Linked DNA regions of Cricetulus griseus. The protein of the gene in region 1 purifies or fractionates together with the protein of each later gene. This does not show direct contact. Links are inferred from orthologs where the notes say so. Each region holds a gene or a part of one and is shown on either strand. Other genes may lie near its edges.

Region 1 (3,577 bases):
TGAGCAGCCTCGGGGATGGTCCTCCGGGAGGTCGCCCCCGCCGTGGGATGTTCCGGACTGTGGGGCAGCTCTACAAGGAATCGCTGAGCCGCCTCATGGCCACACTCAGCAATACCAACCCCAGTTTCGTCCGCTGCATCGTCCCCAATCACGAGAAGAGGGTGAGTAGGAAGTGTCCAATCAGCTTGTTGCACTCTCTGAGTGGGTACAAGTGGCTGCCATGTCTGGGTTCTCTGCTTCTCTGACCTAAACATTTTGAGTGTCCACTGTGGCAGAGACAGGACTTAGGGACATGGTGGCAAAGAGGTGAGCCTGTGCCAGTTGCTTCTGTGTCTGCAGGGAGCTAACAGTTACAGGGCAAAAGAAGTACTTACTTCATAAAACACACATTCAGCTAACCACCCAAAGTGAATGTCAGGTGAACCTGAAGGGCTGAGAAGGGTCAGACTAGATTTTACCTAGCCAGGGAGTCAGAGGAGGCTCCCTGGAGGGGAGGTAACTGAGCTGTTCAGCCTAAGCTGTTTTCCAAGCAGAGATAGCTTGTGCCCAGAGACAGGTAGGGGCATTGTGAGAATAAGGAATGGGAAGGGCTGCTGGGATACAGGCCAGGCCTGTCAGTCCTGCACTAGGAACAACGAGATAGAAAAGGTATTAAGTTCAGGGCCAATCTCACCTACAGTACCAGTTCAAAGCCAGCCTGGGCAACTTAATAACCCTTGTTTCAAATAAAAAAGGAAAAAGAGGCCTGGGGGTGTTGCTCAGTGGTAAAACATTTGCCACAGCCCTGATTGTGGCACCCCTGGTGGCTTCCACTGACCCTGCTGTCACTCCTGCAGGCTGGGAAGTTGGAGCCCCGCCTGGTGCTGGACCAGCTCCGTTGTAATGGGGTCCTTGAGGGTATCCGCATCTGCCGCCAGGGCTTCCCCAACCGCATCCTCTTCCAGGAGTTCCGGCAGCGGTGAGCAAAGGGCTCCAGGGGGCTGGGCAGGATGGGAGTCAAATCCCTTGGGGCTTGAAGCCAGGTTTCTGAGTCTCACTTTCCCTTCTGTGGTGTTTAAGAGGGGAAGGAAAAAGGGTCCTGGAGTGCCAGCCGAACTTTGAAAATTGAAATTGCATGCCTTTAATCCCAGCACTCAGGAGGCAGAGGCAGGCAAATCACTGTGACTTTAAGACCAGCCTGGTCTACAAGAGCTAGTTCCAGGACAGCCTCCAAAGCCACAGAGAAACCCTGCCTCAAACCCCGCCCCCCAAAATAAATACATACATAAATAAATAAAACTGAAGTTGAAGCTGGGCATAGCGGTACATGCCTTTAATCCCAGCAGTGAGGAAGTAGATACAGGAAGATCTCTTGAGTTTGAGGCCAACCTGGTCTACATAGAGAGTTCTAGACCAACCAGAGCTACATAGTGACATCCTGACTCAAAAAAATTTCCAAAACTGTCTGAGTGGTGTGGTTAGCATCCCTATCTCTACCAAGCCTTATTCATATGGTCTCATGATGCTGTGCTCCTCTTCCCTCCTCCTCCCCTCTGGCTGCAGCTATGAGATCCTCACCCCAAACGCCATTCCCAAGGGCTTCATGGATGGCAAGCAGGCCTGTGAAAAGATGGTGGGTAGGGGCAAGGGCCTATGGGAGCCAGGGCCTGTGGAGGGGTAGGGTTTTGCGATCTGAGGCGAGCCTGCTCAGTGGGTGGGCCTATGGCTAAGGGTGCTTTGGCTGGGGGCGGAGCCTGTAGATGGGGGTGTTACTAACAGCCTGGGCAGGGCCTTTGGTGTTGGATATATGGGAAATGTTGACCTGCTAAAAGATGTTGCATGGGGCCTGTGAGGTGGGGGGGGGGCGTGGGAGCCTGGGAGCGGGGTCTGGGGCAGGTGTAGCGCCTGGACAGGGAATCCAGGTGGTGGGGGACTCCCCATTGTCCTTCTTGATACTGTTTCCTTTTCTCCATCTCATTCTCCTTCCCACTCTAACCCTCCAGATCCAGGCCCTGGAGCTAGACCCCAACCTATACCGTGTTGGCCAAAGCAAGATCTTCTTCCGTGCTGGAGTCCTGGCCCAGCTGGAGGAAGAGCGGGACCTGAAGGTCACGGACATCATAGTATCTTTCCAGGCAGCAGCACGGGGATACCTGGCCCGCAGGTGAGGGAAGCCAGGCTGTGCCACGAGTGATGGGCCGAGGCTGGGCAGAGGCCTGCGGACACCCAAAGGGAGCTGGAGTCCTGCAGGACATGCTTGTGTTTAGGACCCCAGCTAGAGGAGTGACGTGTCCTGATAGAGGCTAACTGGGTCCGAGAGAATGGAAGGCTGGTTTGTGTAAGGGCCTGGGGCAGGGCACCTGGCCTGTCTCAGGCTGCAGGCAGATGTAGAGCAGTTTCTCCTCCCCTCAGAACAAACAGCCAGTAGAAGGGATGCTGCAACCCCAGGCTGAGGGCTGTGACCTTGCCTAGGGGTCCTGGGGAGCTGTGGAGGACTGTGAGCCAAGAACAGGGTCAGTGTGTTGGGGTGGGCTGAGGGGAAGGGAGGGAGGCTGAGGGCTGGAGGACAGAGCCAAGAGCAGGATGTGTAAGACTCATAAAGTCTGCCGTGATGGAACTTCAGCTCAGCGGGCACAGGGCTCACCTAGCAGGAAGCCCCCATCATCCCTGCCTGCACTGACGAGGCGGAGAAAGGAGGATGGGCTTCCAAGTTAGCCTGAGCTACGTGAGAGCCCGTCTGAGAAGTAACTAAGTCTGCAATGGCTGCTCCTACTGTCATCCGTGTGCCCACAGGGCCTTCCAGAGAAGGCAGCAGCAGCAGAGCGCCCTGCGGGTGATGCAGAGGAACTGTGCCGCCTATCTCAAGCTGAGGAACTGGCAGTGGTGGAGACTGTTCATCAAGGTGAGTGAGCCTGAGCCCGTGTTCCCCATGTTTGTGAACCAGAGCCACCTGTTACCAGGATGACGGTCCTCCTTCCCCTCCTCCTCCTCCTCCTCCTCCTCTTCCTTTTTTCGAGATAGGGTTTCTCTGTGTAGCCCTAGCTGTCCTGGAACTCACTCTGGAGACCAGGCTGGCCTTGAACTCACAGAGATCCACCTGCCTCTGCCTCCTGAGTGTTGGGATTAAAGCTTGCGCCACTACCGCCAGTTGACCCAGGATTCTTTAGATGATAAGTGATTTAAACTAGTCTGATGCAGGACACTGGGGTGGGGTGGGGTGGGGTGAGGCCTGCCTGGAATCCCCAAACTGGGGAGGATGGGTTGAGGCCTTAGCTGAGGCTGTACCTTGGTTGGTAGGGCGTGTTTGCTCAACAGCACAAAGCTGTCATCCCAGAACTCACAAAGCTGGAGAATTAGGGGCTCTAAGTCATCTTTGGCTACATATAGAGTTTGATGCTAGCTTGAGCTACATAAGATCTTGTCTCAGAAAAAAAGGAGGGGCAGGGTAATAACATGGCTTGGCAGATTAAGGGTGCTTGCTGCCAGTCCCCAGGGCCCACACTGTGGAAGGAGACTTCCACAGGTTGTCCTCTGACCTCCAAATGTTCACGTGTAAGCATGTATAGACAGTAAATAAATGTGTGTGGGGAGGTACGAA
Region 2 (3,577 bases), on another chromosome or scaffold:
CCCATGGAAGCCAAAGGTCAACCTCAGTCGCCATTCCTCAATGACAGTCATCTCCTTTGTTTTGAGAAAGGCTCTCTCATTGGCCTGAAACTTATTGATTAGGCTAAGCTGCTGGAATCACAAAACCCAACTCTTATTAAATGTGGGTTATGGTGCTTATACTCGGGTCTCCATGCTTGTATAACAGGTGTTTTACTGATGAAATATTTCCCCAACACTAGCATTACGTTTTTGAATGTTATCAGTGTTATAGGGTGTTTCATTCCTGTTGGACCTTTTGAGAAAGAGTCTTGCTGTGTAGCCCAAGCTGACTCTCACCCTACCCTGTTTTGGAATTACTCTAGTACCTAGTCTTTTTCTTTTGTTTACTACTGAGTGTTTCATTCACCAGTATGACCTTTTGTATTTGTTCTTTTGGCTTTTAAGTACTGAGATTAGAAACTTACTTTGTTTTTCCTAGTTTTTTAAGTTAGCAGACAAAATGGTGGGTTTTGTTATGGCATTTTTATGCATGTATATTCACCATAGTTTTTCTTATTTCTACCTCTTCCATTTTGCCCTTCTTTGTTGGTCTTTCTCTCCCCAAACAGTCTTCCCTTTTGCTTCCTTGCTAACCAACCCCATTACCCTCTTCCCACACCTGCTCTGTTTGTTCCTTTGGGTCTGCTGATCACTTTTTACTTTGACTCCATATATCTTTTTACTAACCCTTTGCCCCACATCTATAAATTAGATGTGAATGCACAGTGACTTTGTTCAGTACATTTCAAAGAAGGAAATCTGGCACTTAAGTATTTGTAAAATCTAGAGTTTTCAAGAATCTTTGCATTTTAATTGTTTCTTTTTTTCAGAGAGGCTGTGATAGCTACATGGTTTATTTGTTTGATAAAAGTAAGACTGTGTATGAAGGACCATTTGCATCCAGAAGTTTGTCTGATTGTGTAAATTATATTGGTAAGTAGAGTCCAGTTAGTGGCTGAACTTTAATCTTGAAATTACATGATTAGTAAATATGATCTTTTTAGTGGTTTTGTTCAGTATCTCCTATTTGAGATTTCTATATGTGGCGAAAATGGATTTAATGTAGTTTGGAAGGTGTAAAGGTAGATTTTAAATTACCACTAGACTCTTCTCTTGGGAGGAGATTTCCCTTCCTGAGGATAGGGCTCCATAGATAGAAGAATGAAAGCCCACTGTGCACTGTGCCTGCTTTTTTTAATTGTTCCTTCGTTAGGTGTGTTCAGATATTTACACACAGCTTTGCCTGTAAATTTCATAAATCTGAGCTGGTGTTTAGAAACAGAAAAGACTGGTGGACTGTGGAGGAGAAGGAACTTGAACCAAAGCTTTTAGAAGTAAAGAATTTGGATTAGCAGAAAGAAAATGAATATTCTTGACTTCTTGACTGGAGAGAAGCAAATTTAAAAGAAAAACATACAGAAATAATGAAGTAGTTATGTTATTCAGACACACAACTCTCATATCTAGAGCCAGGCAGTAGATTCTTTTTAACATCTATGGGAATAGTTTTTGGAAAAGACGTCACAAAGAATGAACTATAGTGTCTGAAAGTGGCTTACCTCCCTTATTACCATTTTACTTATAGTTCAAGACAGCAAGATACAGCTTCCAATTGTACAGCTGCGTAAAGTATGGGCTGAAGCAGTGCACTATGTATCTGGACTAAAAGAAGATTACAGCAGGCTCTTTCAGGGACAAAGAGCGGCAATGTAAGTGGGTTCTGGTTGTTTTTTTAGCATAACACCACTTGTATCATGTACTCAAGAATTATTCTTGCCAGTTTTCCCTGAGAATTGTGTAGAAGGCTAAAATATTGAACATATTTTGAAGTGTACTGTTTTTAATAATGTGTTTATGAGCATGTGAATGGATGCACACGTGGAAGCCAGGGTTGATGTTGGCTATATTTCCCTTATTGTTTTCTCACCTAAGTTTGGAGGCAAGATCTCTTACTAACCCTGGAGCTTACTGTTTCAGCTAGACTGAATGGCCCATGGGCTCCTCTGTTTGCCTGTTTCCCCATGCCTCCAAGCACTCACTTGCCATGCACTAAGCTGAGGTCCTCGTGCATGCAAAGCAAGCACTTTGCCCACTGGGCCATCACTCTGACTCCATTGAGATGCAGTGTTCTGACCAGACTTAAGATTTCTTATTAATGGTCTGAAATCATTCAGCTGTAATGTCTTGAAAATTCTAGTTCCTGAGTGGCCTTAGCTGAAGAAGGTTGTTTATCACAGACCTCACAGTCTGGAAATAGGTCAGCTGTTTCTCAGGATTTGATAATAGAAACTTAGGTTTTGGAGTTTGGATACTGTATGTTTGCAAATTGTTATTCAATGTTTCTGAATGTTGATAATTTTGTTTTGTTTTGCTATGGCTTAGGTTAAGTCTTCTTAGATATAATGCTAACTTGACAAAAATGAAGAATACTTTGATCTCAGCATCACAGCAACTCAAAGCTAAATTGGAGTTTTTTCACAAAAGCATTCAGCTTGACTTGGAGAGATATAGTGAGCAGATGACTTACGGGATATGTAAGTGTCTGGCTATAATGTATTTGTAAGGAATGTCTAGTCTTTTGAAACCATCTGCTCTCTTATCTTGTTGACACATAGCCAGTAATTTAAATTCACAGCAGACCAACATACAGAAAAACTTGTCAAATGTTTTTGTTTTGAGGGTTAGCTCTTTTAATCCCTTAGTTAAGCAACTTATTTCATAATTATTGTAAAAGTATGTAACTCTAGAAAAGCTAAATAATACAGAAGTGACCTTAAGACTGAATTTCAAGTCTTATTTTAAAATGTATAGAGTCTATATTGAGGTGACTTCCTAGCCAATACTGTGTACTGAAATGTGTGCTTCCCCTAGTTGGTATGCTGAAATCCTGATCCTTTTGATAATGGTAAGACCCTTGGGAAAGGATTAAGTCATGATGGGACCTTACTAGAGGCCTGAGTCACATTCCCTCACCCTTTCTGTCATAAGGGGACACAGAAGGCAGTGTGAACCACTGCCTATGAACCAGAACTTGATCTTGGCTTTCTCAGATTTCAAAATTTGCCACCTAGGGTATTTTTGTTTTGTTTTGTTTTGTTTTGCTTTGTTTTCTGATTTTGTTCTTGTAGTGTAGCAGCTCAAGTGGAATAACACAGCCAGGGGAGTCTTAAATTATTTGTTTTGTTTGTTTTTTTGTTTTCCCTTAATCCATCTGCTGTGGAGTTCTACCTACTGTTTTCTTATTATACACAGTGTCCTGACTCCAACCTTATCCCCTTTTGGATGTGTTAAGGATTTGTAAAGAGTTAAAATCCAAATAAACGGAATTGTTTACTTCATGACACATATCTTTTAGAAGAAGTAGATACTGTTTATTATGTACTTGACAAAAGTTTGGATATCTCAGAATAAGTGACCAGAAGTGTCCAGTTAGTGAATATATTTATTCTCTAGTGTTATTTCTGTGTTTACATATTATAGGCATAATTATTTCATTAGAGCATCTTTGACTTGTCAGAGGCATACTGTACAGCCATTAACTTGACGGAAGAGATCT

What was found. Proteins that work in one complex are often made in the same cells at the same time.
Region 2: the proteins of Myh14 (region 1) and Chuk purify together in Homo sapiens (affinity purification with mass spectrometry; 3 studies listed by BioGRID and IntAct, with this or other methods). This does not show direct contact. The link is inferred for Cricetulus griseus from reciprocal best matches to the Homo sapiens genes MYH14 and CHUK.

What each region holds. Positions count from the first base shown.
Region 1 is NC_048599.1:153,502,302-153,505,878, reverse strand, and holds part of Myh14 (myosin-14), read left to right. Parts: coding exon 1-161; intron 162-836; coding exon 837-958; intron 959-1,542; coding exon 1,543-1,612; intron 1,613-1,982; coding exon 1,983-2,143; intron 2,144-2,772; coding exon 2,773-2,881; intron 2,882-3,577. UniProt on the Homo sapiens protein: Cellular myosin that appears to play a role in cytokinesis, cell shape, and specialized functions such as secretion and capping.
Region 2 is NC_048596.1:17,462,241-17,465,817, forward strand, and holds part of Chuk (inhibitor of nuclear factor kappa-B kinase subunit alpha), read left to right. Parts: intron 1-851; coding exon 852-954; intron 955-1,606; coding exon 1,607-1,730; intron 1,731-2,403; coding exon 2,404-2,555; intron 2,556-3,577.